Oryctolagus cuniculus: one gene and its partner. The protein of the gene in region 2 purifies or fractionates together with the protein of the main gene of each other region. This does not show direct contact. Links are inferred from orthologs where the notes say so. Each region holds a gene or a part of one and is shown on either strand. Other genes may lie near its edges.

Region 1 (6,430 bases), on a different chromosome or scaffold from region 2:
TGGAAAATGGCCCAAGTCCTTGAGTCTCTGCACCCATGTGGGAGAGCTGGATAAAGTTCCTGGCTTCAGTCTGGCCCGGAGCAGGGAGCTGTGCCATTTAGGGAATGAACCAGTGGATGGAAGGTGTGTGTGTGTCTCTCTCTCCTGCTCTTTTTTAACTTTGCCTTTCAAATAAATGAATAAAGTAAAAAAAAAAAAAAAAGTTCTAAGAAGTTCTGTAGTAAGTAATCTCTGTAACTTCAACTCAGTATTTTTTTCAACTTACTAATTTCCATAAATGGAAGACACACTTTCATGAAGTTTCTGAAATAGGAATAAGTCTTCAAAATTTATGTGTATAACTGTTGTGGTAGTATTCTTTGTGACCCTAGAAACTATACCACAACCTAAAGATAGTTTCTAGCGTCATTAAAGCTTATTACCAATCGGTTGTTCAAATCAAGTAATTATGGTGCTTTATTAAAGAAAACTTTCTTTATGATTCACAGTCTACTAACACCTCAGGGGACTCAGAAGCTATCTGCTGCTGAAAGGGAACGTCCCCAAATTAGAATGTATAAAACAAAAAAATCAGAACTTATTTACCATTTTTATCTTAATTTCTATTTTTCTAAAAGATCTATTTTATTCAGGGCCTAGTGCTGTGGCGTGGTGGGTGAAGCCGCCACCTGCAGTGCCAGCATCCCATATGGGTGCCGGTTCGAGTCCCAGCTGCTCCACTGCCGATCCAGCTCCATACTATGGCCTAGGGAAGCAGCAGAGGATGGCCCAAGTCCTTTGGCCCCTGCACCTGAATAGGAAACCCAAGGAAAGCTCCTGACTCTTGGCTTTGGATCCGCCCAGCTCCGGCTGTTGCAGCAATCTGAGGAGTGAGATCAGCAGATGAAAGATCTCTCTTGTTCTCTGTGCCTCTGCCTCTCTGTAACTCTGCCTTTCAAATAAAATAAATCTATTTTATTCATTTGAAAGGCAGAGTTACAGGGGTTGGGAGGAAGAGAAGAGAGAGAGATTAATCAATCTTCCATCTGCTGGTTCATTCCCACATGGGTGCAGGGGCCCAAGCTGTCCTCCACTACATTCTCAGGCGCATTAGCAGGGAGCTGCATCTGAAGTGGAACAACCAGGACTCAAACTGGAGCCCATATGGGATGCCAGTGTTGCAGGGGACAGTTTACCAAACTACAGCACAAGCCTGGCCCCCTTAATTTCTATTTATAGATAGATACTTATGTCTCTATTAAAAACATGTACAGAATACATAAGGAAAAGACAAATGTTCATAATACTCTTACGGGACAAATCCACACATTTAAAACAATGCACATGATATATGAAGACATTAATTTTAAAACTATTTTTTTAAAGCTATTAATTTTAAAGCTATTCTTTAGGACTTTGCTAGCTAGACCTGAGGCAGAAACTCAGCGCTAATACTCATTTGCTTTTTTCTCCCTCCAGATATAAAACGTGAAGTTTGGTTGGGGCATTCAGGGATGCTGAGTCTGCAAACCTGCCTTTCAGAAATTCTTAAAGCAGTTAACTCATCACATCCCTGCAAAGTCCCAAATAAGCTCCTTAAATTGACATAAGGCACTAATCCTGGAAGTTTTCAAGACTCTATCTTCAATAAACAAAACTACCCTTAGCACAATGAACAGTCCATGAGCAATGCTCTTTTGAGTTCTCCTTGGATGTGACAAAAGACTAGCAAGAACTTATATTTGTCTAACTCAAGAACAGGTCTATTATGCTAGTCCCCAAACCTGAAACTATCAACAACTTGGGCAATTGCAGAAACAAAAAATCCTAAATTCCAGAAGCTAGAGGCATATGGTACATTTTCTCTGACAATGAATTGTAAACTTGATCCCAAACAACAAGGTCCAGAGTCTGAGAATGTGGCAAGATGGAGAAGCAAATGCAACAGCTCACAATTTTCCACCTGTGTCAAAACTGTTAACTATGAATTCCATTAGCTGTAGACTACATTAATGAATACTGTTTTAAATTCATGTAAAACAACTGTTCTATTTTCCCTAATACAAAATGCTCATTCACACATTCTGTAAAATTATTTTTCTCATATCATGAAACACTTCAAAAATATTTCACTTTAAAGATTGAATCCAATAATACCTAAGTCACAGTTAAAAGAAAACCACAAATGTTTTTGCATGTCTAAGCATGCAAGTACACACCCAACCTCCTGCTTTTTTAAAAAACTCATTGGTAGAGGCACTGGAGAATTCCGGGCAGTATCAAAGAGAAAGAGACAGAGACACCCGATCTAAACCAGTATCAAAAAACCACTTCACCCAATCTTGAGCCAGCTTCATAGCTGCTTAGAGGAAGGTTAAATAGCTTACTCTTTGCATTTTGGATTAAGTAGCTGTAAGTAAACACGAGGTACTTAAAACTTTTATCATTTCAATCTAGTAAGACTTTGTTGACTTGGAAAAATCAGACAAGTCGGCAATAAATCTAACCCTTAATAACAATATGGCATAAAACAAATGCATTTGCACGATCACCCACTTCACATTCTATACCATATTCTCTATCCTATGGAAATACAAAATGCTGTGAACTTTCCCTGACATCTGTTTTGCATTTAAGGATACCTTTCATCTCAGGGGCAATATTTAACAGAAAAACCAGAACCTTAGGAACAAGCATCTGTAAGTCTACAGTTTTGTTCAGTGTTTCCCTGTGCCTTTATCTAGAATTCCAGAAGCCTAAAATAAGCAGCTGCAGCTATTTTGAGAAATGCACTACTTGGCTCCTTGCTCATTAATCTATCCCAGTTTAGTGGAAACTTGGAGCCTTCCTTCCTTGAACATATTCACTCAGCTACTATAGTGGGGAGCAGTAATAGTAATTTCACTCAAGTTTTTCAAAATGTTTTTCTGTCTTGCGCATGTCCTTTGCATCAGGGAAATAAATACATGGTCAGGAAAAGGTGGTTAGTAACCTGAAGACCCTGCACTAGTTTTTGGAAAGAAACTATCCTTCTGAAACAGTTCAAGTTCACATGCTTCTTAAAAAGAAAAGGTCAAACATTCATACCTGTTTCATCCTTGCCGCAGCTCTATTTGAAAACAGAATAGACCTGTCTTTCTGGAAGCAGGATGGGCACATCTGAAGGGCTTGACTATATGAGCTTTCAGCTTCTATATAATCTGAGGATGACAAGGTAAAGGGTGAGCAGTCAATCTGACTTAATTCCTGACACTACTATATTCCATAGGATCTCAGTATGCATCACTTTCCATTCATAGGACAAAGATTTCAAACAAAAAGTATTACAGTCTATTAAGTTTGGGGCAGTAAAAATCATCCCCCCCTTTCCTTTCCCTTTAAAGAAATAGTGCTTGCTTGTGCCAGTCTCATGAAGTAAGGCTGGTGAACTGACAGCTAACTATGCTGTCAGTGAAGACAGCTCAGTGCTCGAGAGTTTGCATGCCACAGATACTCAGGTCACCTTTGCCTTGTCATTCTAGAAAGGAGCTTCCCAAGGAAGTTTAGGAATTGGACAGATGCGAAAGACTGAAGTCTGAGATCTGCAGTTGGTATTTAACCTAGCAATTGAGATGCATGCATCCCATATTAAAATACTGGGTTTCAATACCTGACTCCACTTTTCACTAAGGCAGACGGTGGGCAGCAATGGTGGTGGCTGAAATCATTGGGTTCCTGCCACTCACGTGGGAGATCAGGGTTGGGTTTCCAGCTCCCAGCTTTGACCTGGCCCAGCCCAGGCCATTGTAGGCATTTGGGAAGTGAATAAGCAGACAGGAGTTCTGTCATTTTCCCTCTTAACTCTCTGCCATTCAAACTTAAAAAAAAAAAAAAAAAGTCTTAGATCCATGACCTGGGCAAATTCTGTGTATGTACTTTCATTAAAATTACTGTGCTTTCATATAGTCAACTTGACTGAAATGGTATCTGTGAAATATCTGCAGAGACATTTTACAGACCTAACAGCATCAATGTAAAAATCAAAACTTAGCTAAAAACTTTGAAACAGAAAATGCTGATAAAATCTATGTATTCTTCATAATATGCAGAAGTATACTCAGAGAAAATGCCTGTGATTCTTTTCTCAGTTTTGAAATATTTAATACTAACACAAAAAGGGATATGCTTTCAAATTTGGAACTACAAGGCTTTATTACATAAAGAATACCTATATCTGCTAAATCAGGATATAACAAAGGCAATGTAAAACTGCAAAATAACTAGGAGATAATTTTAACACTCATAGATTTATTTAAAGGCATGGCTTTTTAATTTAATTAATTTATTTGAAAGGAGGAGAGAGGAAGAGGCGGGGAGAGGAACGGAGAATGAGCTCCCATCTGCTAATTTACTCCTGCAAACCCCCCAGCTGCTGGGGCTGGGCCACACCAAAGTCAGGAGGCAGGAACTCAACCTACATCTTCCATATGAGTGGCAGGGACTCAGCTTCTTGAGCTATCACTTAATGCCTACCAGGGTGTGTGTTAGCAGGAAGCTGGAATCAGGAGTGGAGTCGGGACTGGTACCTAGGTACTCTGCTATGAAATGCAGGCATCTTAACTGCTGTGCCAAACATCCTCCCCACTCCTATATCTCTTCTGAAGCATATACATTTTGAGACGTGACAAAAAGATGTTAGAAGATCAAATAGTTTCCCTTCGATTATTGCGATGAACCTCAACTTACTCCTAACCAACTGTAGGAAATGTAGAGGGGATGAAGAACATCTGTCTACCTAAGGCATCCAAAGAAAAAGGAACAGGAAAAAGCAATCAGAGAACGAGTAAAGGACTTCCCTAGGTCTTGCTGCAGCCATGAGGCCTGTTTTCACACAGCACTGTACCAAGTGAGGATTGCCGACTCTGCTTTACAGGAGTACAGCAAACAACCAACCTTTTAACATTCAAGGATAGTGTTTTCACAAGGCAATAGCTTAAGAGTTTACCTTGATTTCTGCATTAATAATGGATTATAGAAAAGACAAACTTTGGCTGGTCACAGTCAGCTGAGAAATATTTGGACATGGTAATTGAAAAAGACTCCAAGAAGCTGGGAAGCAATACTGTGTCATGAACAGTTTAGGCCTGCTAGCTGTTTCCAAATGTTCTTTGGTGTTTGTTGACAGACTCTAAAAACAGGTTGAAGAGTCAAGGTAACCAGCCATCAGTGCTAAGCAGAATCTTACCTCCTTTCTTAAACTGTTCATTTCCCTCCTCCTTTAATCTAGTGCTCTCTTCTCTTCTTCTCTGAAACAGATCAAAGAATTAGATAATTTCTCACAGTATTATCAAAGGTGAACAAAAAGGTCAGCTTTCTTATCACAGAAGTGTATTTAATTGGTAGCAACTTGATTTTTTTTTTTTTAAGTTTGTTTTCAGAGGCCAGAGTTGTGGCATAGCAATGCTGGCATCCCATATGGGTTCCTGTTTGAATCCTGGTGGCTCCACTTCCAATCCAGATCACTGGATGCGCCTGGGAAAGCATAACATGGCCCAAGTGCTGCTTGAGCCCCTGCCCCCACTTGAGAGATTCAGATGAAGCTCCTAGTTCTTGCCTTTGGCCTGGCCCAGGCCCAGTTATTGCAGCCATTTGGGAGTGAACTGTTGGGTGGAAGATCTCTCTCTGTCTCTCTTTCTAACTCTGCCTTTCAAATAAATAAAAATAAATCTTAAAAAATAAAGTTTGTTTCCATCTATTTGGAAGACAAAGTGACAAAGGGAGAGATCATCTATCTGCTGGTTCATACTCCAAATGCCTGCAACAGCCGGTGCTAGGGCAGGCCCAAGCCAGTAGCTAGAAGCCAAAAAGTCCATCCAGGTTGCAACCTCTGAGTTATAGGGCTCCAAGCACTTGAGCCATCATCTGATGCCTACTGGGTGTGCATTAGCAGGAAGTGGTTCAAAAGAAGAGTGGCCAGGACTTGAACTGGCACTTCAATATGGGATGTAGGCATCCCAAAAAACAGTTTAACCCACTGCGCCACAAAACCCACTCCACAACTCAACTTCTGAGAACTAAGTCATTTTTACTTAAACTTTAAGAATAGTAATAGGAGAAAAAAAAAAAGGTCATCTGGCTAATCATCAATTGTACTCTTGATGGTTAAGTCACAAAACTTAAGTTTTCTTAGTCATATCCTTTATTCCCTATGTTCCTATCATTTGCATGGAATGGTAATTTCAGCATCATTTAATGTCTGTTTGTTCAAAAGTGAAACTAAGCAAGATACCAGTGTATATTCAAGTTCTGATTTTACTACTTGTTAGCAGCATGATTATGGACAAGTTTCAGAATTATTCTGGGCTTTAGCTTCTTCATATAACTTCATTAACACTTTTATGGATTAATGTTTAATAAGCTAATGTGATAATGTAAGCAAAACAATATAAGGACTAGCAAATGAGGGCTAAGT
Region 2 (5,482 bases):
GCAGGGTTGGGCAGTGACCTCATTTTGTACGGGTAAGAGAGCAGCCAGCTAACCCATGAGAATCGCACTGTGGGCCCTGTGACCCGCTTCTGAGAAGTAAACTTGGAGAGCAAGGTTAACAAAGCATTTCCGGGCTTGCTGTGCAGTGGGCCCGAGTTTGGAGGTGGCCCTGTGGCCTCCAGGCCAGTGCCTTCCTATGGGGCAGTGGGGCTAGGGTCAGATCCCCTAACCTGCAGAACAACTGTGGAGCCATCGGAAAGGACCGTAGGGTTCTTCAAGCCTTTTGGACACAGGGAGGGAGGAGCGACTCGCCCAAGGTCAGAGAGCAGGCTCCTGGCACGGCCGAGAGGGGAGCCCGGCTGCCTGACCGAGCGCCAACATTTCTCCAATGCACTGTGCTGCACTGTGCTAGGGGCTCGGCGGGCCCTCCAAGTCCTGACGTCACACTTGGAGGCCCTGGCCGTGCTCCCTAGCCACAGGGCTTCCTTCCCAGAGCCCTTCTACTGCCCGAAGTGGAGAGGGGGGTGAGTGGAGCCCCCCCAGCAGACTGTTCCCGGGAACCATCTGCTGAGGGGGCCTAGACCTCAGGGGGTCCCCTGGTGTTCATGATGCTGGAGTAGAGAACATTACTGGTTTCTACTTTTCTATAACAGCGTTTCTCTGTACACGTTTTATATACCTCATACTGACACCTGCGTATAAAGTACGAGAAGTTGCTCTGCATCGGACTTATATTAAAAACAAACAAAAACACAACATTGTTGGGTTTTTTTTGAGTGCCACAAGCACTCCCCCTGTAAGTTAGGAAGCTTCAGGTCACCTCATCAAAGCCTGTGCGGCAAGCGCTGGCCTGCTCTTTGCTCACCCTAGACCAGAAACTGGAAGGCTCTCGAACCCGAGGGCGGCAGCCGTTGATAGACTCTGCTTCCTGGTCGCCGCTCTCAGCAGGAATCTCCCAGGTCGGAAGCACGAGTGGGTGGGCCACAGGAAGCACGAGTGGGTGGGCATCCCAAGACGGCGAGCGGTCATCGCCAAGCTCTCCCCGAGGGGGAGTGAGGTCACAGCCCGTGTCAGGGCTGGGGTCGGGGACGGTACCGCAGCAGCCAGGGGCTGAGGGAGGTCCCCGCAGGCCGATTCCCAGGGCTCCAGGACAGTTGGTTCTGAGCCGCCAGGAATCCGCAGGGTGACCTGTGCCTGTGCCCAGCCATCGCTCTATAGTTCCACCACTACCCCCAGATCATCAGGATTTTCAGGAACCAAGTTCTGCTCTTGTCCTGGATCCCTCAAGCCCCGGGAGTGCTTGAGAGGAATTACCTTTAGGTTTATGGGTTCATATTGTGCCCACGACCCCCAGCTAGGCAGACGGCATCATCCCGCCCAGTGGTCACTCCGCGTCCTGCTGTACGCAGAAGGCACGAGCAGCGGGGCTTCTCCACGCCCACCCTTGGGGTGGGCTGACCTGCATTCATTTCTCCCCACTGCAAGGGTGAACCCAGCCCTGTGGAGAGAGAGCCAGGAGGCCCGGGCTGGAGAAGTGCTCCTGTGTCAGAGGTCAGAGTGCAGGGCTGAGAGGAAGGACCCAGCCCGAGACAGAACAAGGAAGAGCAGCCTGGCCACGAGGAGGGCAGACCTGCTGCCTCAGCCGGATCCCACATTTTCTGGCGTGGGCTGGTGTGTGGCACGAGGAGGAGGGGAGGACACTGGGTGCCCGAGCACTGCCTGTGGTGGGCAGCTGTGTGGCCTGGGCCACCTCCGAGTCACCTTTTCACTCTCAGGCTCGTCACTCAGGTAACCGCTTGATTTATTTAGTCTGCTCAGCGGCCCAGCTCAGGCCCACCCGGCCCGTGCTTGCTGCCACACGAGGCCGAGCCAGGCTGCTGCTGCTGCGAGTCCCGGGCTCGACCCGCCGCGAGCTTGCGAGCTGCACACGCAAGGGCAGTCTGCATCGCCAGAGATGACACCTGATCCCACCACTCATCAGGTCTATGTACAACATTTCACATCTCACCCACCAGATGGAACGACAAGGGAATATTAACAGCAACCACTCTCCAGGGCCACACCCCCTCCCCACAGTACAACCACCCCAAACCACTCCCGATTTGTTAAATATGGTGCAAGCTCACAGCCACTTAGGAGGCAAATCCAAGTCATGCTGAAGAATGCCCGGAGCTCTGGGAGCCCAGGTGGGGGACCTCAGGCTGTCCAGTGCCCTTGGTCCTGCAGGGTGGCTCAGGGGGCTGTGGCCAGCGGCTAGTGAGTTGGGCCAGCCAACAAAGGAGGTAGAAGGCCCAGTCAGGGAGCTGTCTCCCAGCATCTCAGCTCTGGGGCTCTGCCTCTCCCTCTTCACAACTCAAGCTGCTACCTGGACCAGGCACACAGAAGGGTGACACTGCCGACGCCCACTCCCCAGCCTCAGACTCCAGGCCTGTGGCAAGCCAGGCTGTCCTCCGGAAACCATCCAGCTCCAGCCAGTGTGTCTTAGGGGTCTGCCTGAGGAGCCCACCAAGGCCTGAGTGACAGGAGCTAGGACATGGGCTTTTGAGGAGGCAGGGCCTCTTTCTTCCCGGCCCCCAGCCTCTTCCTGTGCTCGTGGGTGACTTGCTTGGTGCAGACAGAAAGGATGTCACCCAGAAACTTCTCAGCCAGCCTCCAGCAGTAGAGTTTGGTTCCTGGCCTGTGGGAGCCCCACTCTCCCCCCACTTTGATACGGTCCCAGAGCTGGCGCGAGCCACCCCCTGGCAGGTGAGCAGACACCAGCCCTCCTATCCTTGCCTCCTGGCCACTGGACTAAGGGACTCTTCAAGGCCTGCTCCCTTCCCCTCTGCCCCAGGGAGGGCAGGACCTGAAGGGCACACGGGGAGCACCACTGTCATCTCACGCTCTTCCAGTGCCACCGGCCATCAGTCTTTCGTCCACACGCCCGCTTGAAGTCCTCCTGCACCCCGGGACACTGCCCAGCAGGTCCAGGTCATGCCGATTAGTGTAAGCAGGAGCCTCCCGGGATCCCAGGGCCAGGGAGTCCCCGAGTGGTCCCAAGTAACACATTCCTCCTGGCACACGGTCCAGGCTCGTGTCTCTTCTTCACAGCTTTGAGGTGAGTGTTGGATTGAGCGACAGTGACCACCAGGCTCCGGAACCTGTGGAGGTGCACGTCCCTGGCGCTGCACCTGCTTGCCTCCTGGGGAGGTAGTAGGGATGGCTTGTTCTGCTTCTAGACAAGCCGCCAATCCACAGGAAGCCAGGACGGCCCTGCTCACCGCAGGGGTCGGGCGCAGAGGGGGCAAGGCGGGCTGGGGCACGCCCCCCTGCAGGGGGCTGGCCCGGGGCTAGGGAGGCGAGTCCCGGGTCAGGCCGTACTGCACGCTCACAGTGTGGTCCAGCTCCTCCAGCTCTGCCGGCAGCGGAATGCCCAGCTCCCCCAGGTAGAGGGAGAGGGCCTCGAAGGAGTCCTCCAGCTTTGAGAAGGCCGGCCTAGAAAGAAGGGGAGGAGATGAGAGGCAGGGCCGTGGGCTGGAGTGGGAGGGAGCCAGGCTCACGGCTCACTCACTTCCTGGTCCTATGACCTCCTGCAAACCCCGTAACTTCCTCGTGCCTCCCTGGGAAGTGGGAGTAACATAGGGCTACTGCTGACTCCCAGGGCTGCTGTGAAGACTAAAGGCAACGCTGGGAGGAGTCTGGCCTGGCTGGAGGGAGAACTTAACAAAAAGCAGGCCCCTCCCTCATCTCAGAAAACAAATGGTCCAAGGTGGGAGTGGAAGAGTCCCTTTGTGGAGGTCCCTTTCCAGGCCCCAGGCTTGTTGTTTCCACACCAGCTGAGCTGCCCCGTGTGAGGGACGTTTTATGGATGTGGCAGCTCTTTGAGAAGAGAATGAAAACACCAGGTTCCTGGGGCCGGCGCTGTGGCGTAGAGGGTAAAGCTGCCGCCTGCAGTGCATGTTTCCCATATGGGCGCCAGTTCAAGTCCCGGCTGTTCCACTTCCCATCCAGTTCTCTGCTGTGGCCTGGGAAAGCAGTAGAGGATGGCCCAAGTCCTTGGGTCCCTGCACCCGTGTGGGAGACCTGGAAGAAACTCCTGGCTCCTGGCTTCGGATCAGTGCAGCTCCAGCCGTTGTGGCCATCTGGGGAATGACCCAGCGGATGGAAGACCTCTCTCTCTGCCTCTCCTCTCTGTGTAATTCTGACTTTCAAATAAATAAAATAAATATTTTTAAAGAAAAAGAACGAAAACATCAGGTTCCTAATGCTGTGACCCTGGCATGGCTGCCCTGGAACCGAACACATCCCAGGCTTCGTCTCGCTCTTCGTTCCCTTCCTTCACATTTTCGCTTAAACATGGCGCCATCTGGGTGAGAACCACTCCGACCTCCCCAGTCACCACCTGGACCCTGAGCGAGCCTCTCTCCTCGGCTGGGCGTTCACAGCCTCGGTCGCCTTCTAGTGCTCACTACGGTTTACTTAGTCCACTGTTGATCGTGTCTGCTTGCCCCGGCGTGAGCTCGCGAAGGCAGGCACCTCTGCTTTTTGTTCACGGCTGTAACCCAAGCGCTGGGAAAAGCACCTGACACACAGCTGGCACTCAGTGCATTTTTAACAAGCGAGTTAAAGGCACACATTTCGAATGCCTGTGAAGGGATGTCAGCACACAAGTACTGTGCGGTCTCCCGATTTTTCCACTAGTGCTTACCCCGCGGTCACTGAGGGACCACAAAGCACAGAGATGGAGCTTCTTCTACCACCGAACTGCAACTCTCACGTGGGCCTTTGGAAATCACTTTTAAATAAAGATCAGGCGCCAAATGCTCACCCCAGGAGAGTGGAGTGCGCGTGAGAATATCGGGGCGCATACCGGCAGCGGAGATTATAGGAGACCTGTATTTCCTGTGCCATATGCTTTACTAATGTTTGAATTTCCCTTCTTTTTCCCTCTTTTTTTTTTAATTTAATTTAATTTTTTGACAGGCAGAGCGGACAGTGAGAGAGAGAGACAGAGAGAAAGGTCTTCCTTTGCCGTTGGTTCACCCTCCAATGGCTGCCGCGGCCGGCGCACTGCGCTGATCTGATGGCAGGAGCCAGGTACTTATCCTGGTCTCCCATGGGGTGCAGGGCCCAAGTACTTGGGCCATCCTCCACTGCACTCCCTGGCCACAGCAGAGAGCTGGCCTGGAAGAGGGGCAACAGGGACAGAATCTGGCGCCCTGACCGGGACTAGAACCCAGTGTGCCGGCGCCGCAAGGCAGAGGATTAGCCTAGTGAGCCGCAGCACCGGCCTCTTTTTCCCTCTTAAGATATTATTTATTTGAAAGGCAGAGTTAGAGAGAGAAACAGAGAGAGACAGAGAGAGAGATGTTCCATCTGCTTGTTCACTTCCCAAATAGCTAACAATGGCCACGGCTGGACCAGGCAGAAGCCAGGAGCCTGGAACTCCATCCGGGTCTCCCACGTGGGTGCAGGGGCCCAAACAGGCCATCTTCTGCTGCCT

Evidence for each region.
Region 1: the proteins of LIMK2 (region 2) and TTC1 purify together in Homo sapiens (affinity purification with mass spectrometry; 3 studies listed by BioGRID and IntAct, counting the BioPlex papers as one, with this or other methods). This does not show direct contact. The link is inferred for Oryctolagus cuniculus from reciprocal best matches to the Homo sapiens genes LIMK2 and TTC1.

What each region holds. Positions count from the first base shown.
Region 1 is NC_091437.1:46,980,002-46,986,431, reverse strand, and holds part of TTC1 (tetratricopeptide repeat protein 1), read right to left. Parts: intron 5,265-6,430; coding exon 5,204-5,264; intron 3,180-5,203; coding exon 3,067-3,179; intron 1-3,066.
Region 2 is NC_091452.1:24,428,841-24,434,322, reverse strand, and holds the end of LIMK2 (LIM domain kinase 2), read right to left. Parts: intron 3,475-5,482; coding exon 3,330-3,474; 3' UTR 1,785-3,329; downstream 1-1,784. UniProt on the Homo sapiens protein: Serine/threonine-protein kinase that plays an essential role in the regulation of actin filament dynamics. Acts downstream of several Rho family GTPase signal transduction pathways.